Linked DNA regions of Saccharomyces cerevisiae S288C. The gene in region 1 interacts genetically with each later gene. Each region holds a gene or a part of one and is shown in the gene's direction. Other genes may lie near its edges.

Evidence for each region.
Region 2: mutations in AIM2 (region 1) and LMO1 together harm fitness more than expected from each alone (negative genetic interaction), as found in Saccharomyces cerevisiae (one large-scale study listed by BioGRID).
Region 3: mutations in AIM2 (region 1) and HAL1 together harm fitness more than expected from each alone (negative genetic interaction), as found in Saccharomyces cerevisiae (one large-scale study listed by BioGRID).
Region 4: mutations in AIM2 (region 1) and GRC3 together harm fitness more than expected from each alone (negative genetic interaction), as found in Saccharomyces cerevisiae (one large-scale study listed by BioGRID).

Annotation. Positions count from the first base shown.
Region 1 is NC_001133.9:47,450-54,530, reverse strand, and holds AIM2 (protein AIM2), read left to right. Parts: upstream 1-1,935; coding exon 1,936-2,676; downstream 2,677-7,081. Other genes in the region: ERMES complex Ca(2+)-binding regulatory GTPase GEM1, read left to right, coding at 1-1,730; oleate-activated transcription factor OAF1, read right to left, coding at 2,824-5,967; flavin adenine dinucleotide transporter FLC2, read right to left, coding at 6,281-7,081.
Region 2 is NC_001144.5:132,364-140,666, reverse strand, and holds LMO1 (Lmo1p), read left to right. Parts: upstream 1-4,367; coding exon 4,368-6,365; downstream 6,366-8,303. Other genes in the region: SPO75 (Spo75p), read left to right, coding at 121-2,727; ERMES complex subunit MMM1, read right to left, coding at 2,801-4,081; YLL006W-A (uncharacterized protein), read right to left, coding at 4,146-4,322; DRS1 (putative ATP-dependent RNA helicase), read right to left, coding at 6,680-8,303. UniProt on the Saccharomyces cerevisiae protein: Forms a transiant heterodimeric complex with DCK1, that acts as a guanine nucleotide exchange factor (GEF) for the small GTPase RHO5. DCK1, LMO1 and RHO5 relocate to mitochondria upon oxidative stress and trigger cell death.
Region 3 is NC_001148.4:563,435-570,414, reverse strand, and holds HAL1 (Hal1p), read left to right. Parts: upstream 1-3,743; coding exon 3,744-4,628; downstream 4,629-6,980. Other genes in the region: REC8 (Rec8p), read left to right, coding at 1-1,079; methylisocitrate lyase ICL2, read left to right, coding at 1,419-3,146; AIM45 (Aim45p), read left to right, coding at 5,374-6,408; YPR003C (uncharacterized protein), read left to right, coding at 6,647-6,980. UniProt on the Saccharomyces cerevisiae protein: Involved in salt tolerance.
Region 4 is NC_001144.5:66,617-74,883, forward strand, and holds GRC3 (polynucleotide 5'-hydroxyl-kinase), read left to right. Parts: upstream 1-1,963; coding exon 1,964-3,862; downstream 3,863-8,267. Other genes in the region: E3 ubiquitin-protein ligase PRP19, read right to left, coding at 129-1,640; putative AAA family ATPase RIX7, read right to left, coding at 4,017-6,530; IRC19 (Irc19p), read left to right, coding at 6,793-7,485; YLL032C (uncharacterized protein), read right to left, coding at 7,654-8,267. UniProt on the Saccharomyces cerevisiae protein: Polynucleotide 5'-kinase involved in rRNA processing. Required for the efficient termination by RNA polymerase I and the processing of the IST2 pre-rRNA internal transcribed spacer localized between the 5.8S and 25S rRNAs.

The DNA of each region.
Region 1 (7,081 bases):
ATCACGAATCGTATGACCATGTTTCTCTCTTTTGGTTGCCTCATTTCAGATCCCTGGGGTTGAATATTCCTGTCATTCTCTGCAAAAATAAATGTGATTCCATATCGAATGTTAATGCCAATGCAATGGTCGTGTCAGAGAACAGTGATGATGATATCGATACCAAAGTGGAGGATGAAGAATTTATCCCAATATTAATGGAGTTTAAAGAAATCGACACTTGCATTAAGACAAGTGCCAAGACACAGTTTGATCTTAACCAAGCGTTTTATCTTTGCCAAAGGGCTATAACACACCCAATATCACCTTTATTTGATGCCATGGTAGGTGAACTAAAGCCATTGGCTGTCATGGCTTTAAAAAGAATTTTTCTTTTAAGCGATTTAAACCAGGACTCATATTTAGATGACAACGAAATCTTGGGCTTACAAAAAAAGTGCTTCAATAAGAGTATCGATGTAAACGAACTGAATTTTATTAAAGATTTGCTTTTGGATATTTCCAAGCACGATCAAGAGTACATTAACCGCAAGCTATACGTACCGGGAAAAGGCATCACCAAAGATGGTTTCCTTGTACTGAACAAAATATACGCTGAAAGGGGGAGACACGAAACTACATGGGCTATCCTAAGAACTTTCCATTACACAGATTCCTTGTGTATTAATGACAAAATTCTCCATCCGAGGTTGGTTGTCCCTGACACTTCCAGTGTGGAATTGAGCCCCAAGGGCTACAGATTTCTTGTAGATATTTTTTTGAAGTTTGATATCGACAATGATGGTGGTTTGAATAATCAAGAATTACATCGTCTATTTAAGTGCACACCAGGGCTGCCTAAACTATGGACCTCAACGAATTTCCCCTTCTCCACTGTCGTAAACAACAAGGGTTGCATCACCTTACAAGGCTGGCTAGCACAATGGAGTATGACGACTTTCTTGAACTATAGCACAACTACCGCTTACTTGGTGTATTTTGGCTTTCAGGAAGATGCAAGACTAGCCCTACAAGTAACCAAGCCAAGGAAAATGAGACGCCGTTCCGGGAAACTTTACAGATCCAATATCAATGACAGAAAAGTGTTCAATTGCTTTGTCATTGGAAAGCCATGTTGCGGCAAAAGCTCTTTGCTAGAGGCCTTCTTGGGCAGATCTTTCTCGGAGGAGTATTCTCCGACAATCAAACCAAGAATTGCAGTCAATAGTTTAGAACTCAAAGGTGGGAAACAGTACTATTTGATTTTGCAAGAACTTGGAGAACAGGAATACGCCATACTAGAGAATAAGGATAAGTTAAAAGAATGTGACGTAATCTGTCTAACATACGATTCCAGCGACCCAGAATCATTCTCCTACTTAGTTTCGCTTCTAGACAAATTCACACATTTACAAGATCTACCGTTGGTATTTGTAGCTTCTAAGGCAGATTTGGATAAGCAGCAACAAAGGTGTCAAATCCAACCAGATGAACTGGCAGACGAGCTATTTGTGAACCACCCACTGCACATATCATCCAGATGGCTAAGTTCCCTTAATGAATTGTTTATTAAAATCACAGAAGCTGCTCTTGATCCTGGCAAAAACACTCCGGGATTGCCAGAAGAAACAGCAGCAAAAGATGTCGACTACAGACAAACGGCTCTCATTTTTGGGTCCACTGTTGGATTCGTAGCACTATGTTCCTTTACGTTAATGAAATTATTCAAATCATCAAAATTCTCAAAATAATTAATGCCCAAATTTCTATATTAGGGAAGTGTTGCATTTCTATGATATCTGGCCTAAGGCGGAGCCCTTTTTTTCTTTCCGATAAAAAATGCCAAACCACGCTCATTTGCAAGAAACCTTCAAAGGGTGATAAGGTCTCAAGACTCAGTAGACTTAAAGTTTTCCACTACGTCTAACTACAGCAGAACAAAATTATTTCAATCAAATGGCATCTAATCAACCTGGCAAGTGTTGCTTTGAAGGAGTTTGTCACGATGGAACACCCAAGGGTCGTCGTGAAGAAATCTTCGGTTTAGATACTTATGCAGCAGGCTCTACATCTCCCAAGGAAAAAGTTATAGTTATCTTGACAGATGTGTATGGCAATAAATTCAACAATGTTTTATTAACGGCCGACAAATTTGCTAGTGCTGGGTACATGGTCTTTGTTCCCGATATTTTATTCGGCGATGCTATCTCATCGGACAAACCAATTGATCGTGATGCCTGGTTTCAAAGACATTCTCCTGAAGTCACCAAGAAAATTGTTGATGGATTCATGAAGTTGTTAAAACTTGAATATGACCCAAAGTTTATTGGCGTTGTGGGTTACTGTTTTGGTGCAAAGTTTGCCGTCCAACACATTAGTGGCGACGGGGGTCTTGCCAATGCTGCAGCCATTGCACATCCATCTTTCGTCAGCATCGAGGAAATTGAAGCAATTGATAGCAAGAAACCAATATTGATTTCAGCAGCGGAAGAGGATCACATCTTTCCGGCAAACTTAAGACACTTAACGGAGGAAAAATTAAAGGATAATCACGCTACTTACCAGTTAGACCTCTTCAGTGGTGTGGCTCACGGGTTTGCAGCAAGAGGCGATATATCCATACCTGCCGTAAAATATGCGAAGGAGAAAGTCTTGCTCGACCAAATATACTGGTTCAATCATTTTTCGAATGTTTAAGAGGGAAGAGCTCTTCTTACGTTAACCGTTATATACATATATATATATATTGAGCACTTTATATTATCGGTCAGTTTCATAAATTCGTGGCTATATAATATTAATTAATTGATGAAATGAATAGGTAGGAGTTTGGAAAGAAAATTTTTAAGCAAAGTCATTGCCAAACAAAAAGTCATAATCAAATAAATCCAAACCTCCAAAATAACCTGGAAAAGGAGTATTATTCGCTTGGCCTCTATCGAAACCATTAGGAAGTTGTGATCCAGATGAGTTATCGACAATTGGTGTAGCATTGATTGAATTGTTCAAGTTATTCATCCCGGCTATTGGCGTTTGCTCTTTTGAACCACCACCCGCCAAAGGACCCTGACGTAAACCACTGTTGTAGTCCAAGCTCTGACCAACTGCAGCGGCCGATGATAGTTTTTCTAAATTATCTAAGGATGAACTCCATGTCTTTGTGAAGGTAGGAACAGCATTTCCGAATGGTTCGCCGTTGGTTAAGTCAATTGTGTTTACAGGCGGCTTCAATCCTGAAGAAATTTGAATCTCTTTTTTGATATTACGGTTCAGCTCATCTATATCTTCAACGCTAAAATTCGCAACGTGATTGCATGCCATCAATTCCTCTAATAGCCTATCCTTTTTGTCCAGTTTGACTCCTAAGGTAATGCTTAATGTCTTGATTATCCTAGAATGCATTTGTTCCATTTGAATCATCGTAAATATGCCGTGCCATAATTCACCCTTTCTCATCCTTTGTACAATGACATCGAATAAAGCCAACATCTTAAAAACGGGGAAGTATGTGAATCTTAAATGTTCCGAAGCAGAGCAATATATACCTTCTAAAGCAGACTCGAGATCTCTTTGCAGGGTACTAAATTTTTCGACTTTGGTATTTAACTCCTTTATTCTTGGATCTGTCGTTCCCGATAACTTTTGTACTTCAGAAGATAACATATGGATGGCTAAACCTATTCTTAGTATAATCCCTAATAGGCTGAAGATTGTGCTGGATAGTGCTAACTGAATAAATTTTGTAACATTAAAACTGGTTAAAGAAGATATTGCGTGTCGATATTCTCCGTTGAAAAACTTATTGAAATAATTTATTAGTGACAACGCATCCATACAGCTAACCATAAAGTATTTCTTGTAGAATGGGAAGATACTTTTATCCTTAGTGATAAGTGTTTCAAAATGCAAGAATACGGCCATTGAAGTTCTCAACATCAATAGTTTATTCATTATTCGATTGTGAAATGAAGAAGAATTTTCTGAAGATAATATATTCATTTCTGAAATCACATTCATGTCATCAAGGTCTGACTTATCCTGTGCGACACTTTTTAATGGTACTATGGGAAAGTTTTCCTCCACAAAAATCTCAATCTTTTCTCTTATGAATTCAATTGAATGCAAATGGAAACTACCATAGTATGTCATCGTCAAGTTATCTAAGTCCGACAGGAGTAACGCAAGCTGGGCTCTCTTGAATGTAAATTTATGAATTCTCAAAAGTTTGTGATTATTGATATCGCTTAGATCGCCCCTAACTCGGTTCATATATACCGTCAGAGAATCAGGATCCTTAATATTTAGGAATAAGGCCATTAAAGATATCGGTGAGACAGAATGTCTACCTTTGAGACTTGCTTCAAACGAACAAACGGTAACGATACTCAACCAGAGTATTCTTCTGTGATTCAAGGTTCTTTTATCTGAGGTGGACGGGGAAATCAATTGAGGGAAATCTGAAGGATCTCTGTGGAGACCAATCGAGGTGGAAAGCATCATTATCAAACTACTGATAACATCGGTGGGGTGCTCGAGAAAGAAATCACCCTCTTCAGGAGAAAAAGCAAAAAAAGACCAGATATATAGTAAACATGATATGATGTTTTCATTAGCGCATGCACACCAATTTTCCGATGCTAGACATCTTTGACTCAATAAAATAAAATCGTTCGGTATTGGGTATTTATCAATTATTTCCTTTGAAAGATAAAAACTCGAGTCTGCTGTACTATGATCTAAAAACCTTATTGACATGTATGAGAGTTTCAAGATAACCAATAGAAGACTCAAGTTTTCCACCTTAGCTCTCAAATGTGTGCTACCCATACGTATTTGCACCTTGGAGGGGTTGTTTGGGTCCGGAAAAATTGTTTGACTTAATGATTCTTCAAAAATTTCTAATTCGATGAAAGGTAGACTTGGATAAACGTACTCATAAAAGTGGTTCTTGTAGCGTTCAATAATTTCGTAAGATGGCAAAATAGCTTCACATTCATTGATCAAATTTCTCAATAAATCCGAATATTCGCCACCTTGAGGGCAATGATCCTCCAGATATTGGTAACCGACAGAATTGTAAAGCATTGATAATAGCATACCGATTTTCAAGTTTCTATTTGAATTTGTATTTTGTAGTATTCTATCAGTGAATTCGTTTACACGATTTTTTTCATCTTCGGTTTGACACTGTCTGATTAGCATTTCCTTCAATTTCAAAAGGTTATTTGCTACGCTAGGCTGGGCTCTTGTAATATTCGCGTTTGCCGTCAATGCCGGTATCATCGTGTTCTTTGAAGTGTCAAGGAACACTGAAGTGACCAGGATTTTTAGAAAACAGTCCTGAATTATAATATAATTTTCAGATAACGGCTTAACTTCTCTTTTCATGACTTTACTCATGATCATGGTTGGATGACTTCTATACAAGTTGATTTCAATATCATTTCTGGTACCATTGTTTATATCCCCGTTACCACTTTGTTCATATATAGGTTCCATTTTATGCTGCTTCTTGGTATCAGGACTGTCCCCGCTAGCATTGTTTGTATTGATCGGACTTGCTGATCTCTTGCCTGATTCATTCACCTCTCTCTCTGTTAGTAGCTTCATAGCTTTATCTTTCCAATAAAACATATCTTTTTCCAACCTTGATATAATGGCGTCTTTACTCGGAATTCGTGGTGCTGGCTGTTTTGATACGTCATAAACACATTTTAACCCATGCTTGACGCATCGACCACATTCAGGTTTTTCTCTATCACACTTTGTTTTTGACTTCCTACAAGCCTGGCAGACAAACAATATTCTATTTCTTTTCCTATTATGTGTTTCGGAGTTCTCGGGGGCAGGCGATGTGCTTGAGTGCTCAGCTTCTAATCCAGGCGTTGGGTTATTGAACCCTAAGAAAAACGCCTCCGAATATGGCTTGGTAGAGCTATTATCATCATTTCCGGCATGTGGGGCCTTCTGCGTACTATTTTCGACCATGACTTACGCAACCTAATCTATTATTAACCTGCTTCTAACACAAAATAGCCAACAGTAAATCCCTTCTGGAGGATCTGTTTCCTTCTCTACACGTCAAAAAAGATGTCAGAAAAAAGCGGCAATTGCGTACATTTAAGGAAGCAGAGCCAAAGCGAATTTCACATTTAAGGTTTTTATCGCTGAAATATGTGTGGTGTTGGGATGTAATGGAGATAATACACCTTTTTGAGCGGTTTTCTATGAAATATAATGTAGGATATCCTTGCCCTTAAATATTTATATAATAAGTTGTTACATGTGAGTATATATTGGATTACAAATATGGGTTGTTGTTGCGGGCGTTTTCGTTGCTGCCGTTGTTGTTAAAATGCGAATATGATTTATTGGAATTCCCCAGGTAGAGACTTGATTCAGGCTTCATTAAACTGGAGGTGCTTGTATTATTCGGCGCTAGATTAGTACGAGAAGCAGATGACGCACGTTGGTACTGTGGAGACAAGAAGCTGCCACCCGTACCCATGACAGCGGAGGTTGGTTGCACAGGTTGCTCCGTTACTTCCGAGGCATCGAAGGGAGAGGAATTTTGCTTAAAAGAGGATGAACTAGTCTCATCATCAAAGAGTCTTGCTGTATTTGTGTTTGCATTCAGGTTCTTGCCGAAAGTGTCGTCACGGAACATTTTTTCTTCCTCATTTTCATTGGTGTCCATAACAGCTTTTCTCAATTCAAACAGTTCAGAATCATTTTTGTTTTTGCCATCGAAATCATTTTGAATCTTAGGAATGAATGACACACGGTCATCTTTCATTGGTTGGTAACGGACATCTGGGTTTCTGTGTAGTAATGCCAGTGTACAGGTGACAATAGTGAACAATAATAGGAATAGAGCAAACACCGCGTTCAAAACGAACAGAATAACCGCCATCACTGACGAAACCACTGCTGGTTGCTTGAACAAATTACTGAAAAACAAAAAGAAAAATGCATTGATCAAATTCACCAAATGAATAGCAATATTGAAAACATTAGTTCTCTTGTCCAAATATGGTCTTATCCAACAGAGACAAACGAAGTAAGCTAGTTCAATGACAAAGATGATCATTGCTTGAGCCTT
Region 2 (8,303 bases), on another chromosome or scaffold:
AAATTCTTTATGACACAAATTATAGCGTGTTTAAAAATTAAACAAATGTGCAAAGTATATTCACAGTAGACAAACTTCAGGAACTCTTTTTCAAAAACAAGAAAAAGACTTACCAAGAAGATGAATGCTACTAAAGAACTGACTTTTAATTTACTGAATAAATTTCAAGACAAAGAAAGATTTGGATCTGCGCAAAGACATGCTGGAATCTCACTAAAAGGGTTCATATCTGGTATATTGTTTTCTTTTTTGTACTTTTTATTTCAGCTGTCACTCTTTATTATTTTAAGATCAAGATTCAAGACTATATATCAGGCCAATGTCGTTCTGAAAATCCATCCAGGTTCTAAAGTTTGTTTTGCTAAGAAAAAAATAAAAAATTATTGGTCATTATTTGCATTTCTCAAGCAACTTCCCGGAAGAATGTTAGATCCTATGGAAAAATTCGAACGAAACGAAAGGTATGGCCTAGACAATTATCTATTTTTACGGTTTCTCAAACTTTTGATATTCTTTTTTGCAGTGTTATCAATTATCAACATTCCAATACTAATTCCAATCCATTATTTTTCCAGGGATATTTTGAAAGAAAATGAAGGTGAACGTTATGAGCAAAGTTTCAGGACGACAAGTAAACTTGACAAGTGGACCATGTCAAATCTATCACCTAATTCATCGAATACTTTAATCTGTCACTTGTTTTTGAGTATCTTTGTTGTACTCTGGTTTCACTTCATTCTTTCTTCGGAACTGAGGTTCGTTAATCGACTAGGATATTCCGTTTTGACGAAAAGTAAATACCAAAACATTCTATATTTGGAAGGATTCTCAAGTAAATTGGTTACCCAAAGTATTTCTTTAGAAACTTTTTTTCAGCCGCTACACAGTGATTGCTTTGGCGTGACGCATTTCATTCCAAAAAATTTGAAGAAAGTCCACAAATTAGAAATAAAGTTAAATAAATTACAAAAATCAAAAGAACAAATTATCTTTGAGATTATTTTAGAGAAATATTTTAGAAGAGTTTCAATACACAGGCATTTGATAGCAAATCACAAAAGATTTTTCTTTTCAAAGTTGAAAAACCATCTATTATTTCAGTACAAAAAATTGGTATTTTTAACTCAATTTAGAATTTCATACTATTGCACAAAAATTCGTCTGCGCTGGAAAAAGTCAAGCATCTTTCCGTTATATTACCCTAAACTGTATGTAAATACAGAAACAATATTAGAAAGGAAATACAGAATCCTTGATAAAATAATACGCAAGGAAAAACTCATTAAATTCCAAGTAAATTCCTTGAAAGCAACTTCAGAAACCAAGCAGGCACTGCCCGACGATTTATCGTCGGGCACAGACATTTATATGGATAAGATGTTCATTACCTTCAAGTCCACATTATTGTCAAACGTTATAGGTGAGTTGCTTTCGTATAGACTACCCACCCAAAATTTAAAAGTAATAATAGGCCCCAATGTTAATGACATTATTTGGAGAAATATCCTCGATTCATCACCCCTTTGGAAAAGTGCCAAATATTTCTCGGCAAATATATTGCGAATTTTTGTGATTATAGGCTGGATTTTGCCTGTCGCGTTCCTTGGGTTAATATCACAAATACCAAATATTTCCTCACTAATACCGTTTACAAAAATAATTCATTTCCAATCTCCATTTATAAGAGAAGTGGCAAAGAATTTGATTCCAATAGTAACCTTAATAATAATAATAGAAATCGTACCCTACTTTTTCCGTTGGCTGAGTTACCTTCGAGGGTTGAAAACTGGAGCGCAAATAGAAGCTGATGTCCAGAATTGGTATTTCGTCTTTGTCTTCATTCATCTTTTCGTAGTTGTTACAATATCTTCTGGATTTTCTATAATTATTGAGAGGCTTCTTAACAATCCTGTCAGTATCCCTGCTCTCCTGGCCAACGACTTGCCTAAATGCGCAAACTTTTTCTGTTCTTTTGTTTTGATTAGGGGAATGGCTTATGCAGGCGGTAATTTGTTAAGAATAAAAGAGCTACTTTTTGAATTGTTCTACTATAAATGGAAAAGGAGTACTCCACATGCTCAATTTAAGAGGTTAAAGACATCTTTATTTTTCCAACTAGGATCTATTTATCCTATATTCTCAGTGTTGGGCTGTATTGGTATCATATACAGTGTTGTTGCTCCTATTATATTATTATTATGTTGCATCTCATTTTCGATGGTTTTCTTTTCTTTCAGTTACTTGTTCAAATACCAATATAACAAAGAGAACTATTCTGAAACGTTCGGTAAATTGTACATACAGGCCCTTATGCAATTGTACGCGGGCATTTATTTCATGGAATTTTGTTTACTCGGGCTGTTCACTCTTTTTGATCAATACACATTGTCAACTATAATGCTTGTTGTCTTTGCTCTAACAGTAATCACGCACTCCAAAATCTCCAAACAAATAAAATCGAAGCCTCAACGCATACCAACTTTGGAATACTTGTCGAATCTAACAGAGGAAAGGAAGGACCAATTCTGTCAAGAAAGTTATACTTTCCATGATATTTTCTCCATTTGTAGAAATTCGGATGAAATTTGGCTACCAAGGGACAAACTAGGAATTTCTGAAGAAGAACAATCATTTTTGGAGAAGTCGTATCACCTGAAATTCGATCTTAATATGTATTCAATGAATTTATTTGGTGATTGTCACTTGGAGAATAGCCACTTGCACTAACCAAAACTGGAACACCAAAAATGAGGCAGAGAAGATAGGAAAAAGATAGAACAAAAAATTTGTACATAAATATTTATAACTCTGTAGGCTTTTCTTCTCTCGTATTTTTACTACGTGGCCACATACTTGGTAACCTGACAAATTGGAATCTTGGTTCAACGCATCGTTCAACGAACCATTTTTTTATTTGGTATTCAATGACACTGCCGATCTTGGGAATATTTTCAAGTTTAGACCGTGAGCCAATTAGCGACTTGATTTCAAATTCCATTCTATATTCAGGAGAAAAAGAAAACATCAAAAAGTATCCTGAATTGCCCTCCATACCGTTTTCACTACTGCTACCGTTCGAAGTAGAAGCAAACTCCTCTGCATTAGTTAAAGATACGGTCAAACACGCCTGAAACCTCACAATTGACACTACTAGATTTATGGGGAGTGCGGCAATACCAGGCTTTGGATAGTTAAGTAATAGTTTTGTTTCTACTCCTAAAGTTAAGTGGTCATTTAAATCTATATCAATTTTAGCCTCTAGCTTTTTATTTCCTGAATTTGGCGAATATTGTATTCTGCAATTCGAGAAAATGGGGAAATCATCACCTGTATCCAGTTCAGTTATTTTTATGGTATCCAAATATTCAGGCAGATCGGGTGATTTTCTTCCAATAAAATCATTCAAGGAATGAAGGATATTGTCCCTGTGCCAAGCCTCACTGCGGAATTGCTGTATTATTTGGGCAACTAAAACGTTGAACCAGTCCAATGACTCTGCAGGGTGCACGTCGACATTATAATAGGTTTTCTCTAAAATAAGAGCTAGTTCTTGAAGATGTTCATTTTCTGCCTCTTCATTGAGCTCGTAGTGTTGTTTAGCACCCTTCCTAACAAGAGAAGTCAGGAATTCGCGAGATATAAAGGGATATTCTTTAAATTTTGATCTGTGACGGGAGGCTGCAGGTTTCGGATTCTTACTTTTAGATGGCTCATCACTGAATATAAAGAACTTTAGGAAAAAGATGAACAACAACACTATGCTTAGCTGTCCTACAAAAAACCCTTGAGCAAACGACCATCCAGAAAATTTGGAGGACGTTGCTAACGATCCTAACGAAGAAGGATGCAACACGCTTTGCATTTGCAAAGCTTGAATTGCATCATCGAGACCTTTGAAGCTCCCGTTTTTACTGACATTAAACTCTGAGTTGTTTGAAGTTTGCTTTAAGTCATTAGTAGTAGAACCCTTCAAATTCTCCATGATTAGTCTCTGTAAATGTTCAGGTAGCTCTTTGCTTATATAATCGTCAAACGTCATTAACGAATCCGTTTCGGTGGATTCATTCTCACTATCAGTCATTTTCAGAAAAAGGCTACAGGTATTATATTGACTCTCTCAAAGTTCTTTCATCTCATTGAGAAAATTATGAGGGGCACTTATTGTTGTAGATGATCTTTATTGGATGTTGACGGTTCTTCGGAATTGAAACGGATAGGCAGAAAGTGAAAAAATAAACTATTAAGGAAATACATGAAAAGAAGTAAACTGAAATGTATACAAGGGCAACCCGTTCCACGTTGGATTGACTCAATTGTGTCATCAGTAGGAAAATAGATTAAAGTAACCTCAAATAACGGCATAAGCAATGAAGCATAACAGGCAGATGCCAGATGAAAGCTTGGAAAACATAAAAGTGCTACTGAATCCTAAATTAGGAAAGCCAGTCAAGTCACTTACGAGTGCACAATCAAAAGCTTGCTATCATACGCTGATCAGTAATAAAAATTTGAACAAGACAAGTGATGAATACGAAAAGTTATTGGCAAACTATATCCTCCTTTGTGATGAAAAATACCTATGTAAAACCGTAATTCCAGATTCCCGATTTTGGGCTATATTGTGTGATAATTGCCAAAAGCTAAGGTCAGAAACGTTGGTAGCAAATCTCATTAGGATTTTTAATGTAGCCCTTAAATGCCAAGATTCTAATAAGAATGAAGTTATTGTGAGCATCTGCCACATCTCCAGAGAGAACTCTCAGCTCATTGGAATACTTTTACAACTTTTGTCCCAAAGACCTATTCATATACCGTTGTTTACGGACACTATACTATGCATAACCCTATTTTTAAAATGCTCACTTACATTATGTGAGACATCACTATCACACGCCGTAGAATTTGTACCCAGAATCCTCATTTTGCTATTTCAGTATAACTTTCCAGCTTCCATGTCTGAATTACTTTACATAGAAGACTTGCAACCACTAATCCTTGAAGAATTTGTACCGTTAAAGCAGAGGCTAATAAATTTTCTATCTTCGGTTAGTATTGATGATTATTCCTGTTCGCTTAAAGCTGATCTTCTTACAGCCATCAAAGATAACTCCGTATTCCAAAAAGGGTTAGAAATGGAAATGGGCGATCTTCCCAGTATAAATTTATTAAATGCGTATGATACATTCACATTCTTAAACAGTCCTAATGGGTCTTTCAAGAGACTTTACACTGAACAATTGTTGTTTGGCGAGAACGATTTCCCTCTTTATGAAGCAATATTTAAACTTTCAGACCAATTTAGAAGACTTTTCAATCTAAGTGGGAAAAAAGAGAACCAATACTCAGACTCAGAGCGTGATTTAAAATTACAAATTGCTACCGCTGTTCTCAATCGACAAACATGTTTTTACAAAACACTCGAGTTGTTTTTGAGATTTTGGATAGAATCATTAGCAAAATCGCAAAGTGATTTGGTTTCACTGTTAAATTTAGCTATTATCACTTTAAAATATGTTTGTTTGTCATCCAGTGATTTGGAAGCAGCAATACAGACGAAATCCCTTCTCAAGACCCAAGTTGTTGCACTTGACTCTATGAGATATAAATTTGCAAGAACATTACAATTAGACTCAATCAAAAAAGAACAGTATCGAACCTGGTCATCTAGTATCGCTAGCTTCGATACCATGCTATCAGGCCAGGTTCGTGATTACGTTCGTCATCAAAGACTTCTTCAATTGCAAAAGGGAACGTGGGTTTACGCAGAGAACCCACTGAATCCTGAAGCTGGCACGCCTAAAGTCTACTTCCTCATAGTTTCAGATAACCACGCAAATTTATTAGCCAGAGAATTCGAAACACAAACAAACGATTTACCTTATCTATTCGACAATAAAATTTTAACAAGTCCAGGTTCTGAGGCATTAGCTAATGGCAGAACAAAAGTTGTTGTTTTGAAACATATAACCTCTTTCAAAAGCATAGAACTTACTACACCGAGTCGTCGGACGAGCAGTAATGTTTACATCAAATTAGATGAAGCCAATGTGTACACTGGAGTTGAATTAAAAGATCGTAACGACAGGACAGTTTTGAAATTTTATTTAGACACAGAAGAGGGAAGATATATATGGCTAGACGGATTGAAATTGATATCTCCATTCCAGCATGAAGATATATCAGAAGACACGAAAGAACAAATAGACACTTTATTTGATTTGAGGAAAAATGTTCAGATGATAAATTTGAACGTTCGTCAGGACATCATAGTGCCTCCACCTGAACCAAGCGACGAGGACGAAGATGAAGAATTTTATAACTTGGAAACGTTAAAGAAAGTAACCCAAAATTTTTATTTTGATTAAGATACAAATTTGTCGTCAGACGATTTTTTTTTATTTATAACTTTTTTTTACTAGAATGGAATGTAATTTTGTAATTCTTTCCCGCAAGTAGCTTGAGTCTCCATTCAGTTCGTTTGTACTTGAAAAATCCTTTTAATATAGCATATAGCTTGCAGTTTATTAATACTCACTTCTACAGATTCAACAAAAAAAAAGGAATTTTTGACTAATCCCCTGTTTATTAGATGAATTAATGATATTTAAATACAAAGTATTAATAATATAATGACAGTGATAAGTATGTTGATATTTTATGATAATGACGATGAAAATTATTACCTACGGCTTTTGAAGCCCTTCTTCTTATTTGAATTTGTACTCTTCTGCTTTTTAAAAGTTCTTTCTTGATCTGCAATACGGTCGGTTTTGGTTTTTCTATAAGAACGTGCACCATTGCCATCTGCCTTAGCTTCTTCACGCTTTCTCTTTTTGCTGTTAGTGACTTTCTTGTTCCTTGATAAAGCACCTAATACTTTGGAATTTTTCTTATCTGATTCGCTTTGGAACCATGTCCTTCTTGGTCTTGCCTGGATTTCCTTTTTATGCTTCAACATATTTTCACCCTTTCTTAATTGCATTTCAGCCCTTAATATTTCCTTCTCCTCCTTTTCTTCCACCAGAATATCTTCAATCGTATCGTTCATGGATTCAACAAGTTTGTTTGTTTCTTCGATTTGAACCCAGTCTACGTTTCTACCAAGTGCTTTACCTTGAGTTAGGGACTTATTTTCTTCTACACTCTTTATAGCAGCACGTACAATACTTCTATCTTGAGATGATTCACCGACGAAGGTGACGGAACGACCTTCCCTACCAGCTCTGGCGGTACGACCAACTCTATGCAGGTAGATCTCATAACTCTTGGGCATATCGTAGTTGATAACAACCTCAATCTTGGGGATATCAAGACCTCTGGAGGCCAAATCCGTACAGATAAGTACAGGAACTTCCAAATTTTTGAATTTATTAACGGAATCTAAACGCTGTTCTTGGGTTAAAGAACCGTGTAATTCACCCACACTCATACCTAAAAGACCCATGATAATCCTTAACCTATGAGCAGTTTCTTTTCTAGCCACAAAAACGACAATCCTCTTTTGACCCGTTGGATCCAATTTCCTAATCAAATTAAATAACAAGGCAGGCTTCAAATGGTCTCTTTTACGAATACGAACGAATTCTTGTGTCAACTTAGTAGCAGCTTTCTTTGGAGGATCAATCATAATCCTTACTGGTTTTTTTAGAGAAAGACTAACTAAACTTTTAATTTTGGAGTTCATTGTAGCAGAAAACAATAGGTTCTGTCTATTGCTTGGTAATAGGCCCATAATTTCGTTCAGTTCATCTTGAAAACCTTCTTCTAACATTCTATCGGCTTCATCCATAACCAGAATCTCTACTGAGTCCACATTAAAACTTGCTGAGTTCCTGATATGATCAATGAATCTACCTGGGGTAGCAATGACGATGTCCGGACGAGATTTCAACATTTGTTCTTGTTGTCTCAAGTTCAAACCACCAACGGCCAGACCAAAGGTTATACCGGAGACGAAACGTGCAATTTGTTTACCAACGTCAGCGACTTGGATAGCTAACTCACGAGTGGGCAATAGAACAATAACTCTGGTGGAAGCGATTTTGGCTGGTTTATACAACAAACGCTCGATTATGGGAATCATAAACGCAGCAGTCTTACCGGAACCAGTCACAGCACCGGCAATGATGTCTTTACCCAATAAGGCAATGGGGATTGTGGCGCTTTGAATAGGGGAAGGCTTGACGTAACCCAAACTTGCAAGGCCCTTAAGAACCGGACGAGATAAAGACAAACTGTTGAAATTTTCGTACATTTGCTTTTTAGCTTCATCTCCCTCAGTTTCAGGCGCATAGAAATCGGCT
Region 3 (6,980 bases), on another chromosome or scaffold:
AGAAACTTAACACCAGAATGCAAAGAGGACATCGCGCCGATGTAGGTGGGCAATTTTCTAAGGTACAATTTGATGCCAAAACGAGTTATCCAAATGAAGTTCTCAAATTCAACCATGGAAATTACAGTCACTTAATGGAAAAAAACAGGATTAGAAAACTAACCGGCCAAAATTTTCTCACCTCTAACATAAGTAGTTTGGTAAGGTCATGTGGTGAGGAAGAATTTTTTTCAACAAATTGGTTAAGTATATTTAACGACTTTTCCAATATAAAGACTAGCGAATGGGACTTATATCCCCAAGGTTTTAGTTCAGTTGAAAGAGGGAGAAAAAGAGCACATTCTTTAGTATCAACCCAAAGCTCAAGTAGTACCAGAAGTCACGAATATGGTAGGAAAAGTTTTCGCAATAATAAGAACGATAATTATTCTTCCGATATGGAAAATGATAATTTACTTTTAAACCTTGAACAAATTAATGAGGATTTGGAAGATGGGCACTATATTGAAGAAAACTCTCAAGGTAACATCCTAGATTTTAATTTGAATCTACCTCCTTCAAGTTTTGGAAGAAGTCATACCAGAAACTCAACCAGGTCTAGTGGTTTCAATGAAGATATAGTTGGTGCTCTCAGAAGGAGAGTCGGGCCATCTGAACAGAATTTTGCCGAGGAAGACGATTCCAGCAACAGTTGTTTTTCTGATGGCTCTCAGCAAAATTTGCAGCAGGACAAAACAAATTTTCAAGACGTCATTCTGGATTATCAAACTAAAAAATTCTACGATTACATCAAAGAAAGATCAATTGTTGTCGGAAGAACAACGCGCTCCAATCCGCCTTTCAAGAGAAAGATGCTGTTGGTTGACATCATCCCAAGCCGCATGGGCGAAGCTCAAACGGGAGCTAACTTTGATGATGTAGAAAGAGGTGTCAGCAGACAGATAGCCGCCAGTGCCTTCCTATCCTTACTGAATTTGGCTACGAAAGGGATGGTCAAGTTGAACGAATATCCTGTTGCAGATGCGGTAACTAAAGATCTTAAACTGAGAAGAGAGGACGAAATAATTGTATATGCCTGAATTTTTATTTTCTCCTTCCATATGAGCGACAGCGGTTACTAGCCGCTGTCCTCAGGTTAATGATCCAAGTCCGAGATCCGGGCCGAATATGCTTGCGGGGAAAGAAATAAAAGTGCATTGGAGAAGAAAAGGATATGCTCTTCAATTAGAAGCGCCGAAACACTAACATCATGCTAGCGATATCATACGTACACTATATAATGTAAAAAATGGGCTTAAGAATAACTCTCTTATTTCTTAACTTTTGTTGCGGTTGAAGAGCTTATAAAAGTACTAGTGGCCTAAAGAAGCTACAGCGCCGATAATAATATCGATTTCGACTTTTCTAGTATTTCGCCGATGATTACAATGATTAACAACAAAACTTTCAATAGAAAAACTACGGGAACACTGAAGAAGCTGGTTTTGTCATCAGACAAGTCACTGCGAAGATCTTTCAACGGGGCAAGCAGTACTAAAGACTTCGTGTTCTCGGAATCAAGTAAAGTAGAAGAATGGTGGGAATCAGCCAGATTTAAGAATATCAGTCGTCCATACTCAGCTACGGATGTTGTAAAGCATCGGGGCAGCCTTCCTGCTAATACTTCAATTTATCCTTCATCTTATCAAGCTCGAAAGCTGTTCAACTTACTAGAAGAGAATTTCAAGAATGGTACTCCACTTCACACGTTGGGAGTTATCGATCCTGTACAAATGAGTCAGTTGGCCCGTTGCAGAAATATCAAAGTTGCTTACATATCTGGTTGGGCTTGTTCTTCCACATTAGTTGGATCTACAAATGAAGTATCGCCGGATTTTGGCGATTATCCATACGATACTGTGCCGAATCAAGTGGAGAGAATATTCAAGGCGCAGCAATTGCACGATCGAAAGGCTTTCTTGGAGGCCTCCATCAAAGGTTCTACTCCTGTTGATTATTTAAAACCAATTATCGCGGACGCAGACATGGGTCACGGTGGCCCAACGACTGTAATGAAAGTTGCTAAGTTGTTTGCGGAGAAAGGGGCTGCTGGTATTCATCTTGAAGATCAGATGGTGGGAGGCAAAAGGTGTGGCCATCTAAGTGGGGCTGTTTTGGTGCCCACAGCAACACATCTTATGAGATTGATTTCCACCAGGTTTCAATGGGATATCATGGGGACAGAAAATTTGGTTATTGCAAGAACAGATTCCTGTAATGGTAAGCTGTTGAGTTCAAGCAGTGATCCGAGAGACCACGAATTCATTAGGGGTATAATAAGAGATAACGTGGTGCCTTGGAGCGAAAAATTGATTGAGATGGAGGACAAAAAAATTCCCAACTCCGCCATTGCTGACATGGAAAAAGAATGGTACCATGAAAATGAGCTGTTTACATTTGAAGAGGCCTTAGAAAAGCAGTTTACGGCAAGCGAGTTTGAAAGCTATAAAGAAAAGAAGGAAGACCTTATGGTAAACAAGCTGGGTAGAGCATACCTAAGCTTAAGAGAAATGAAACTTTTAGCTCAAGAAGTGACACCACTAAAGAAAATTATATTTGACTGGGATGCTCCGAGGACCAAAGAGGGATATTACATGTTTAACGGTTGTATTGAAGCAGCTATTAGAAGATCTTTGGTGTTTGCCCCATATTCTGATATGATTTGGCTGGAAACGAAAACTCCTGACCTGGAGCAGGCACGCTCATTTTCAAGAAAAATTCATAAACAACTTCCAGCTACCAAGCTAGTATATAACTTATCTCCTAGTTTCAATTGGAGCGCTCACGGCTTTGATGATAAGGCATTAAAATCCTTCGTATGGGACTTGGCAAAAGAAGGCTTCACGTTGCAACTGGTTTCCCTTGCCGGTCTGCATTCAGATGGAGTATCATTCTGGGAATTAGCCAATAGCTTCCAAAGTGACGGAATGAAAGCATACGTCGAAAAAGTGCAAAAACGGGAAAAGGAGACTAATTGTGATATCATGACACACCAGCTATGGTCTGGTGCAGAATATGTTGATTCCTTAATGAAAGTTGTCCAAAACGGTGCTTCATCCCAAACTTTAAGTACATCTGGTGAGAGCTTTACCGAAACGCAATTTTGAATACGCTTCAAGAAGATAAAAGTATAAATAATACATATTGCCAGCAACTTAGTCACATATCTCTTTTATCTCTATTTATCCTCTTTTTATTAATTTATGACCACGATCACTATATTTAGTTCGAAAGTTAGTGTTTGTTTTGCCAAGATATCCTCGCAGAAACAGTTTTACTTAAAGTTTCAGGTGTTGCGTGGAATGCCCCTGCTAAGCTGTCGTGTCGCGCTCTTCCCCGCGTTTGTTTCACATTATATATCATATGGCGTATGACGGTATGGGTGAAAATAAGCGTAGGCTGGTTGTGTGTATTTCTCTCGCACTTTGAAAGGGAAAAATAAAAATAGAGTCTATTAGGAAGCTCACATATGCCGGGAAAAATTACGTAAAGCATCAAAAGGGAAAGAAAATATAGGGAAAGATAAAACAAAAAGCAGAACGGTATCAGGCATTCTTGTTTTAGCCTTTATGTACGATATGGCGTTTATTATGGAGAATATTGAGGTATTCAACTATTTAATACTTGCTATAAATTCTGCCAAACTACTAATCATTCCGTTTATATAACTCAAGAAAAGAGAAATACAGAAACAAATAGATCAGATGCATTTCAAAGATTTAGGATTGCATGACTACACTCTCAAAAACTTGATGTATGAGAATAATTGCTGTAAATTTTATGATGCCGTGGATGAAAACAACATCTCATATGTTTTAAAATTTGTTCCCTCAGATGTGACTTCGGAAGGGGATACTTTCCCATTCGTGGATCGCTTTCAAGTAAAGGAAGGTGTTTTTTTGGTATATTCCTCAAATGACTTTGGAAAAGAAGGTACGGACTACTTTACTTATACTGGTAGTGGTGGAAATGAGGTTCACATCTCGGGCACCTCTTCAGAAGCAGGAATAAAACCGCAGTTTATTGAAACTTGCCATCCAAAACATCTTAAGCGGGGAACAAAAGAGCAGGAAGATATAAATAGTAGTACCTCAAAGAAAAGTGCAGTTATCAACAATTTTTCGGGTGAAAAAACACCAAATCCAAGGCCACAGAGTTCCAACATTTCAGAAAGAGAGACGTATGTCGGAATATTGAACGTCAAATGTAAAAATAAGAACTCATCGAAAATACGAAGTGAAAAATTGGTAAGCTCCGTCATCGAAACAAAGCATACGCCAGGATTGGCATCTATTTTATCGAAAGAAGGCACTACATATCCGAATAATGCGGACGGGAAACATATCAGTATCGTGAATCCATCCTCAAAAATATATCATTCATCCCATAAACAGATTGTTAAAACGCCTATCCCTAAGAGTGGCCTTTCTCCAATTGAGAGATGCCCTTTCAATGGTCAAAATATTAAATGCTACTCACCAAGACCACTAGATCATGAAAGTCCCCAACGTGATTTCAATAATAACTTTCAGCTGAGAATACTGAAGAGCTCGGTGTTGCAAAGGAGACAATCAACACAGAATAGTTGAAAAATTCGTTGGTACTAGCTTCGGGTCGGTTAGCTGCGCTGCTATGCATTTGTTAATATCTCCATCGAATTTTTGTTGTTTCGTTCAATAACTTTATTACTTCCCCCTTGGACTCTTTCGTTCTATCGTTCTACAAGTCCAGCCAAAATTTTTCCCCTCTTCCTTTTCTTTTGTTCACTTCTTAGCTCACTTATATAATTATATACTGATATTTGGATTCTTTTGTTGCAAATATGCTCTCCCAGATTTTTCTGTTGAGATGATTCATGCTTTACATGGATTGAGCATTAGAGAGTAACTATATCCAATTTCGTAAGACGAGTATCTACTTTCCCTTGTCCCCAGTAACCTCAGGAACGTGACAACTACTTTTCTTAAACTGTCAACAGCCAATGATACCGTATTCAATGCATGTCTTGGGATTAAGCCACTTTGATTGAGTTCCGTATTAGTAGTGAGAATTAAATCTTGCAAGATATAAGAATTACTCAACAGAGACGAGATACTTTCCTTTTTTTGGTTCTTTTGTTGTTACTTGGCTTAATGGACAAAGTCTGCTCGCATATTGTATATGTTACTCTTACGATGTGACTCCGCCCGTTTATTATGACTTTTCGGTACATTTTTAGGGCCTCGAACGAAAATCTACTAACTAAAAATTAAAAACAATTAAAATAATCAACAAACAAAATCTAGTGATATAATTTACTACCATTAACGGTAAAGCAGCTAATTGTTAATTTCTATGTTTAAATCATTGGCTGCTGTCTTGCCTAGAGCTAGCAAGGCAAAGTTCCTCCAGAAAAATTACGCCTCCACTTTAGCTTTCATTGAAAGCTCAAAAGATGGCTCTGTTTCAAGGTCATCATTGAGTTTATTGGCTGCTGCACAAAAGTTGTCTAACCCTATCACAGCTGTAATCACAGGTAGCAAAGCTGAAAAAACTGCTGAGGCGCTAAAATCTTCATATTCATGCAGCAATTTAGAAAAGCTTGTCATATTTGAAGATTCAAAATTAGATACCTGTCTTCCCGAACAACTAACTCCGTTATTAGTGAAACTATTAAAAGGCGGCGACTATTCACATTTTGTTGTCTCAAACTCCTCTGTTGGAAAAAGTGTTTTACCTCGGGTGGGTGCGCTCTTGGACGTCCAACCTGTTTGTGAGGTTACTGTAATCAAAGATCCTAAGACCTTTATAAGGCCAATTTATGCAGGTAACATTATTTCTACAATAGAATGCCAGGCAGAAAAAAAACTGTTGATTATTAGGGCATCAGCTTTTCCACCAATTGCAGAGGGTAGTATGGATTCTGTTACCATTGAGAAGAGAACTGATATTCCTCCTTGTGACTTAAATGTTACCTGGGTTAAAACTATTCTTACCAAGAGTGAAAGGCCTGAACTTACTTCTGCACAGAACGTGGTAACTGGTGGAAGGGCACTCAAGGATAAGGAGACATTTGAGAAGCTATTATCGCCGCTAGCAGATGTTTTGCACGCTGCTATAGGTGCCACAAGAGCTTCTGTTGATAATGGACTATGTGATAATTCTCTACAAATCGGTCAGACTGGTAAGGTAGTCGCACCAAATTTGTATATAGCCATTGGCGTTTCTGGTGCAGTTCAGCATTTAGCGGGAATGAAGGATTCGAAAGTTATCGTTGCCATTAACAATGATCCTGATGCCCCTATATTTAATGTCGCTGACTATGGGTTGCAAGGGGATCTTTACAAAATAGTCCCTGAACTAACTGAAAAACTTGGTAAATATAAATAAATAAATTCTTAACTTCTAAATATATTCATCTCTTCGCTTTGAAGGGGGCACGTTTTACTTTTCCTAGTTCTCTTGCCTTTTTAAAAATGACCTTTTCGGTGTAAAGCGGACTAAATATAAAAGACTACGAGAAATGGCAAAGGAATAATAGAGTTCTTCCAGATGGGAGAATATGAGGAGAACAATAACTCCACAAACTTCCTAGTGATTTCCAAGAACTTACGGAAACAATTATAGGATGACATCAAATAATTCGTTATTGGGGCGTGGAAGGATGTCATATTCCTCTACCGCTCCACCAAGATTCAAAAGATCAGTCGACCAGCGTGACACTTTCTCGGACAATTTTGATTATGATAAGGATTCATCCAATCGAGGCAGGACCTATATTGCAGCATCTAATTCAACTACTGGGGTACCCCCACCCAACAACTCAAGATCAGGATGCACCAATAATACAAATAATACAAATAATACAAGTAATACAAGTAATACGAACAATAATGATAGCGTTGATGAGAATACAGTGTTTGAAACTTTACCTTATTACCTGCCCTGCTTTTCATGGCTTC
Region 4 (8,267 bases), on another chromosome or scaffold:
TTCTTTTTTTTTTTTTCTCACTAAAGCGTTGTCCTAGAGATGTAAAAAGAGAAGGAAATGAAATTTTTACTGGAAATGTTACTACTATTACACAGGTTTATTTAGAAAGTACAAACGTGTCAGCGTATTTAGGGTGTCAATGCAACAATATTGAAACTATCATTTGTCTTCAGAATAGCGGCAATACCACCATCTCCGCATACCACGTCCATATCAGTGAAATCGGCAGTGTCGCTTTGCAAACAGAGGGCGCTCTCCTCGTCTTTAGTCCAATTTTTTGTTTTCTTGTCAAATTTGTATATCGTCAGCGAATTGCTCTCGTTTGAGTATGCAATCATATTCTTTCCAGAGTCGTCAATGTCATAGGTAACGGTGCCCGTCTTGAATTCTGGGATTGTGTAAGTTGGATACGCTAGCGTGCCGACATCCTTTCTTAGGTCAAAGCAAACCACAGTTTGGTCACACTCTACTACCATCCAGTACCCATTGTCTGCAAATTTAACCTCTTTTATCTTGGCTTCTTCATCTACGGGGAATCTAGAGCTTGCCTGGTCAGGTGATGACAAGTTGTAAACGTCTAATATACCGTCCGGAGAGTAAAGGGCTAATAATAATGAATCCTTATGTAGGACACCGCTGCTGTACTCAACATCTGATTTAGCAGAATGAACAATATACTGGGAATCATCCTCGTAGGATTGAAATCCTATGGTTCCTCTATTATCCGCCCAGATGAAGTACTCTGTGTTGACCTCGTTGTGACCATACATATATATAATCTCATTGGCGGAATCTACCTCTATTTCTCTGAGGACTTTGTTTGTTTTTGAGTCCAATATAGTTATTTGGTTACCTGGATATAGTAGTAGCAAACGATTACAAGGCCCTCTGGAAATAATAGCTGGATGCTCTCCCCCGGTACGGGGATTTGGTGTAGTTATTGTGGTAATCGTTTTCGAATCTTTTAATTGGGTAAAATGTAAAGCACCATCCTCACAGCGACACATGCACACCCATTTATCATAGTACATAGATTTGTTAAGCTCTTTATATGGGAATGTTTTGATGTTACGGGAGTAATTTTGTGCCTGTAATAGCTCCAAATTTTTTAAAATCGGCCATTTGGGTGCTTTGAGCTTGCCCCTCGCTACAAAGTCTCTAGAAGATTGTAACAGCCCTTGTAAAAATTCTTCTCTCGTAATAGCTACCGCTTGCTGTGAGGATTTGGGTAAATCCTTCGAATCTTCGTTTTTTTCCATCAATAGTTGCGCAGCGACCAACTTTGCAGCATCTCTTTCGTACATTACAGTCGACAGTTTTTTCGTTAAACTATCTAGAGTTGATCGTAACTTAAAGTTTTCGAGCATTATAGCATCCCATTCATTCTGTAAACTTGTCAACAGATTCGGAATCGAATAATTCGCTTTTAACGTAGCAGAGTTTGTAGACTCTGTTAGTGAGGCTTGTTGCGCACTAGGTACGATTTCCACTATTTCTTCGATGCTTAAGGGCTCATTTGTTATCGGATCATTCCCCGTATCTTTAACATACTGTTCAAGGAGCGACTTTTCAAAAATAGTCCTGGATTTAGGTGATAGAACTGGCCTTCTAGGAACTTTCCCACTAATAGCACAAAGCATTGTTCCCTAGTTGGCTTTCTTGGCTATGTTTTGGTCTTTAATATTTCTTGGAAAGTTTGCATCTTTCTAAAATTGCCCTTACGAATTTTTCACCGCTGCTACCCGAAAAAGTACGAAATTTATCAACATGAAATTTATTCCTGCCAAGTCATCGAGTGCTCTGCGCCTAAGGCTTAGGTTGCATTTAAGTTGTCTTAATTCACGCTTATAGTGCAGGTAGTATAGGTTCCCCACTCCTGATCTTTCCCTTCTGAAATAAGGAAAGACTGCAGTTTAGTTTGGCAGAGAGAAGAAGATAATCATTTCTATTATATTCTACCGCTATGGTGATAGATTCCAAACAGGATCTACCTCAATATACCAAAGATTCAGGTTCAGAATCGGACTCAGACTCAAGTAATAATTTCATTGTGGAATCTCCGTCAATTCCATCTTCAAAAAGTGCAACCGTAGTTCTCAATAGTGAAGAGTATGAGGACGACGAAGGTGATGACTTGAACGGGCTGGATGCTGAATTGATCGATAATATAACGTATGAAGGAGATGAAGATGAAACTATGTTTGTGGGGTTGAAAGAAAAACAGAAGTTACATTTATCTGGTGTTTTCCGGCTGCAAGTGGTGAAAGGAGGTATTGTCTACAACAATGTACACTATAACGCTTCGAGAGAAATTTTAACCTTCTGGCACCCGTTATCACAGTCCATACCTACTATAGATTTTTCGCACTTTGCAGGCTGGCAAGACACTTTTTTTATGCCGAGAAACAACAGGTTTAAAATTAGAGATGAAGAATTCAAATCATTTCCATGTGTTCTTCGCGTTTTTAATTCTAATCATACGGGCTTGTTAGAAGCAGGTCATTTATATCGGGATGTTAATTATCTATGGAAACCTAAAGAACCTTACTTTCCATTAAACGAGAGAACAACGTATCATTTATTACATGAGTCAGACCGAATTCAATCTTTATCCGTGCCGGGATATTGGTCAACTCCGTTAGAGAAGTTATATTTGAGTCACAAGAACGCTGCGTATGATACAAGAATCATGGTGATTGGTGGTAAAAACTCTGGGAAGTCTACATTCTTGAGGCTTTTATTGGAAAAATTTACGCAAGATATACGAGATTCTACTACGAGCCAGGAAGAATTGGTATACCTGGATTTAGATCCTGGTCAACCTGAATACTCACTACCTGATTCAATATCCCTGAATAAGATTCTTTCCAGCCCTATTTCTCTCGGACAACATCTCTGCCAAGGTTCAAATTTCCAAACTTTGTTACAGTTCTACGCTGGCTCCTCTTCCCCGCAGGACGAGCCCACATCATACCTGAACTGCGCTGATAAACTTATAGACCATTTGGAAGAGCAAGCCTTCTTCGGAACGTCATTGCTTAATCTACCTGGGTGGATAAAAGGATTCGGGATGCAGATTTTAAATCATATAATAAGGAAATATAAGCCCACTCACTTATTGTTTTTGGAAACAGCTAATTCGAAAAGACACCTGGATGAACTAACAATTCCACAGAGTTTTTCCACATCACTACGAGATGCATATGCACCTGAAGTTGTTCGCGTTCCAGCCCATAGTCTGAACCACACCTTATCTTCTAGGTTCCATGCATCACAACTGAGAACATTCAAAATACTGGCACTGTTTCATAAAATAACTCAATTTGATTATGATTTTGCGCCTCTTTTAAAATCTGCACCTTTGCAAATTTCATATGGCAAAGGTAAAAGCGGTATTAAAGGCATTCAATTTCCTATGGAATTCCAGGATCTGAATCCTCAAGATATCAAGTCCGCATTGGAAGGTACTGTCATTGGGATATATACATATTCTGGAGAAGACTCACTAGAGGTGAAATCCTTGAATACCTTTCCCATCCTACAATCGTGTACTTCTTCTTCTAAAAATTTCATAACTCTGGGGCTGATACACTCTATTGACACCTCCCAGCAAATAATGAACATTTACGTGCCACCTTGCCATACCCAGATTTTAGATAAACAACCTGAGGATGCTCAATGGATAATAGTAAGAAATAAGACGGAAACTCCTTTTTGTGACTTTCTTCCATCCCCCCGCACAATTACATGGGATGATAATATACAAATACCGTTCGCAACTTTTGAAAGAAGGAAAAAATTGGAACATGTGTGGAAAGTTCGTAAGAACGTCATGAGACGTGGCCAATTCATGAAAAGATAGAAAGAAAAGGTAATCGTACATTTTTTAATAGTGAAAGATAGAGGATACACAAAAATCATGCAAAGTTTTATATATTTGTTATGTATACTCATATTCCTTCAATATCTAAGTCATACTAACTTCTAGGGACTTTACCAAAATATTATTTATAAATTTATTGTTTCATTTCTTCCGCATCCTTCATCTCCTCCGTTAAACCCATTTTCTTATTTAATCTATCATATTTCAGTCTATCTTTATCGCTCACAGAGGGTTTAATCTTTCTTAATGCACTTCGGAAGTCAGACATGGTCACAATAATTTCTTCGCCAGATACGCCAACCGATAGATCCTCAAATTCCTTGTCTAAGTCATTATCAAGAACAGATTGTATTTCTTCGCTCTGAAAAAACTTCCTTTTTAGAGCCAAGACTGAACTCTCCCTGACTAAAGCAGCCAAGTCAGCGCCTGAAAAATTGTTGCACTTCTCATTTCTGATAATTTCTTCAAAATCAACATCGCTACTCAGAGGTGTTCCGTGTGATTTGGTCAAAGTTTTGATAATATCTAGTTTTTCCTCAGTATTAGGTAACTCAATAAACAAACTCTTATCCAATCTGCCCGGTCTTAACATAGCAGGATCAATCATATCAGGTCTATTAGTGGCGCCAATCACAAAAATTCCCCTTCTATCGTTCAGCCCATCTAATTCCGTTAACAAAGTGTTGACGACTCTTGAGGAGGATTCGGACAAAGAAGTATCTCTTCTTGGCACCAAAGCGTCCAGTTCATCAAAAAATATAACACACGGTACAGACGCCCTTGCTCTAGTAAAAACTTGTCTGATGGACCTTTCTGATTCACCAACGTATTTATTTAATAATTCAGGACCTTTGATTGATATGAAATTTGCACGAGATTCATTGGCAACAGCTTTTGCTAGTAACGTTTTACCACAACCTGGTGGTCCCCACAATAAAACACCACCAGGGGCGCTAATTCCCACTTTTTCATAAAGCTCTGGTCTCTTGATGGGTTGCACAATAGCCATATTTAATTCAAGTCTAACTCTTTGCAATGCGCCTACATTAGCCCAAGTAACATCAGGTACCGTAGCGAACCCTTCTCTCTTTGCTGTTGGTTGAATTGTTGGCAACGCTTTCAAAAAATCTTCGTACTTAATCGATAATAATGATAACTGCTCTCCTGATAAAGGCTCAGGATAATTACGAATAAATTGTTGGACTACGGATAAAGGCAACGGATCGATCATATTCGCAGTGTTCTTCAGGCTAGATTCATCTCCGTTTGCTGTTTCATCAATTTCCATGTTATCTTCTGAACTGTCCGTTGCCGTAGTTGGTGTGGATTTTATATTAGCATAGGTTTGGAAAATTCTTTTAATAGCGCATGTACCGGCAGCAGTAACTAAAGCCTTTAAATCAGCGCCAACAAAGCCTGGGGTTAATTTTGCCAATTTGGCAAAATCGATAGCACCATCAATTTTTAGGTTATCAGACATTTTCTTTAAAATATGTAACCTTGAGACTTCATTCGGGACATTCAGGCATATTTCTCTATCGAATCTACCTGCTCTTCTCAATGCTGCATCCAAAGAGTCAGGTCTATTCGTGGCACCTATGATAATAACAGGTTTTCCATTTGTCTTTTCCATCGTTAATTCATCCATTGAGGTCAATAATTGGGCAACTATTCTTCTCTCCATTTCTCTTTGGGCTCCTCCATCACGTTTTGGTGTAATGGCATCTATTTCATCAAAGAAAACAAGACATGGTGCCAAGCTTCTCGCTTCATCAAACAAATCCCTAATCTTTTTCTCGCTTTCCCCAGACATACCACTTACGACTGAAGGTGCAGAAATAGATATAAATGGGACTTGTAATTCTCCAGCTAACGCATTAGCAATCGACGTCTTACCGCAACCCGGTGGGCCATGCAACAGAACACCTCTAGGTGGTTCGACACCCGTGGATAAAAATATCTCTGGATGAAGAATGGGTAGACCTATTAGTTCCATAAGTTGTGCAACGACATCATCCATACCACCTAAGGATTTCAGAGACGAATTAGGTGGAGATCTATCTTCCTTGATTTTTTGACGTTTTACCTTACATGTACCTTCTTTGGATCTTTTTTTAGATTTTTTAACCTCTTCTGTCTTAGGATCATCAGTTTCTGTTATAGACTCGGAAACAGATCCAGATTTGGACCACGTGCTAGTTATGCGTTTGTTCATCTCATTTGTGTCTCGCTCAATCATCATATTTTTCTTAGCTAGTTCTTCTTCCAAGCTTGGTTTCTCTTCCTCTTCGTTGTTGTAACCTGGGTAAGAACCAAATTCTTCCAATTCTGATTCAATCACGTCTTTTAGCATGCGGTCAATTGTCTTTTGTAAGACAACTTTCTTAACTCTTTGAAGTGATAAATCTTTAGTCAAACAAAAGGTAAAAATCTCACCTGCTGTTAAATCTTTAGCGAAAAACATGGATTCAAATATATCCTCATCTTCTTCACCCTCGTTGTTCTCGCCCTCTTCTCCTTGGGATTCTTGTCTCAGAGACCTTTTTCTGTCCAAAGTTTTTTCTTCCAAGAGACGATAGATAAGATCGACGATCTTGTTATCTAGAGAACTTGTTAATGAGTTCTTTTTCGACTTTACTTTAACCATTATTCCAGCCTTCCCACCACGTAGCTATTATCGGCCCTAATGATCTTTTATTCTAACTGACTCGCAGATTAATTCACACATCGGTTGTTAATCATTGTTTGAATTTCCAAAATATGCGATGAGCTGAATGAAAAATTTTGGAACCTGTCACTATCGACGAACATCGAAGTTTGCCATGACAACCATATATGAAGAAAGCTTATGAGACTAGCTCGAGTATATCATACGTATGCATGTTAATCGCAGTTAAGCGGATAACACAATGCGTAAGCCTTCTATTACGATAACAACAGCAAAAGCTATTATAACTCCAGACTATACTCTTATTAAATCGCATTCTAAATACCAACTTCCTTCACGTTTTCAAAAGCTAGATGCAGACTCACCTGAGAGAAGTACAGTTGTTAAGCTATTTTACCGCCGATTTATGAGGCTTAAGCCTTTCATATCGAATGTGAAAATGGTTAAAGATACTTACAGGGATTATGTTCGATATAAGTTTATGAAAGAAAACTACGAACTCAAACGATACTTGGTATTCAATCCTGATGGCTTGAGGTCGAAAATCAATCTTGAGCTTCTCAGCAACACGAAATGTTGTGAAAGGATACTCCCCGTGACTGAGATGCAAAGAACCTTGGAATTTGTTCTGAAGAGCTGTTCATACTTGCCCGAAACAAAAGTTCAAAAGTGGGATATTGCAAGGGACAACACATATTGCAGGCAAATTTTAAAGAACCTTTTAACAATGCAATATGAAAAGTACAGATCGATTTTGCATAGAGGAATAGGCCATGATGAGCTTGACGTCAAATTCTCTCATTTGAAAACTACTTCTAGTCCGCTAACTAAGCTAAATAAAACCGAAAAGAAAAAGATTCCGCTTTTCAAAGTATTTAGTGATTTCGATACAACATTGATATATCTCAATGAGACATTAGGTACAAGGTTATAAAGATCATTATCGTAAAAGAGGAGCGGAGCGGAGCTTTTTAGTATGTATGGTAAAATATCAATCAAATACTGTAATAGATGCGGATATGCGCAATGACATATTTTGTGGTGTGCATATCCATTGAAAAGGTGCGTAGAACGTTACAATACTACTGAACTTTTTTCCTTCTCATTTTCTGCCATTTTGATATTTATGCCTATTATTGGTTTGAGCTTTATTAGAGTTGGCATAATTATAATCGTACTCGTATGTATATCCGTATCCATACCCATATCCGTTGTAATAAGTGTTTGGTATATATCCTTTGATGGCTTGGGCTCCTCCTACCGTCGTTATAACAGGCATTTTGTGGCGTTGTGGTGAGGCTCCTGATTGGCTGGTATTATCGATGGTCGTACGACTTTTGGCATTATTCATTGATCTGAAATTGCCATTGGTATTGCTATTACTGGTGTTACTCTTGCTGGAGGCAGACCCTAGAACAAATTTTTTAATTATTTTTTTAAATATTATTTTCGTCTTTTGTGTTTCCAAATAATTGGATAGTAATTCGATTGCTTTTGTTAGAGTATTCTCATTAGTATCCTTTTCAAAAGTAAAAGTGATAAGGTCCTTCTCAAAAGTTACAATTATGTTCATAATTTGCAAAAATGGAACAACAATTAGGTTATAAAATTCGTATTCTTTATTGGGATCTATCTCTTGATCTATTTTGAACTCGTATTCATAACCAAACGCACTATTAACCAATTCGTTAGCGGCTCTTGATGCATTCTCATCAT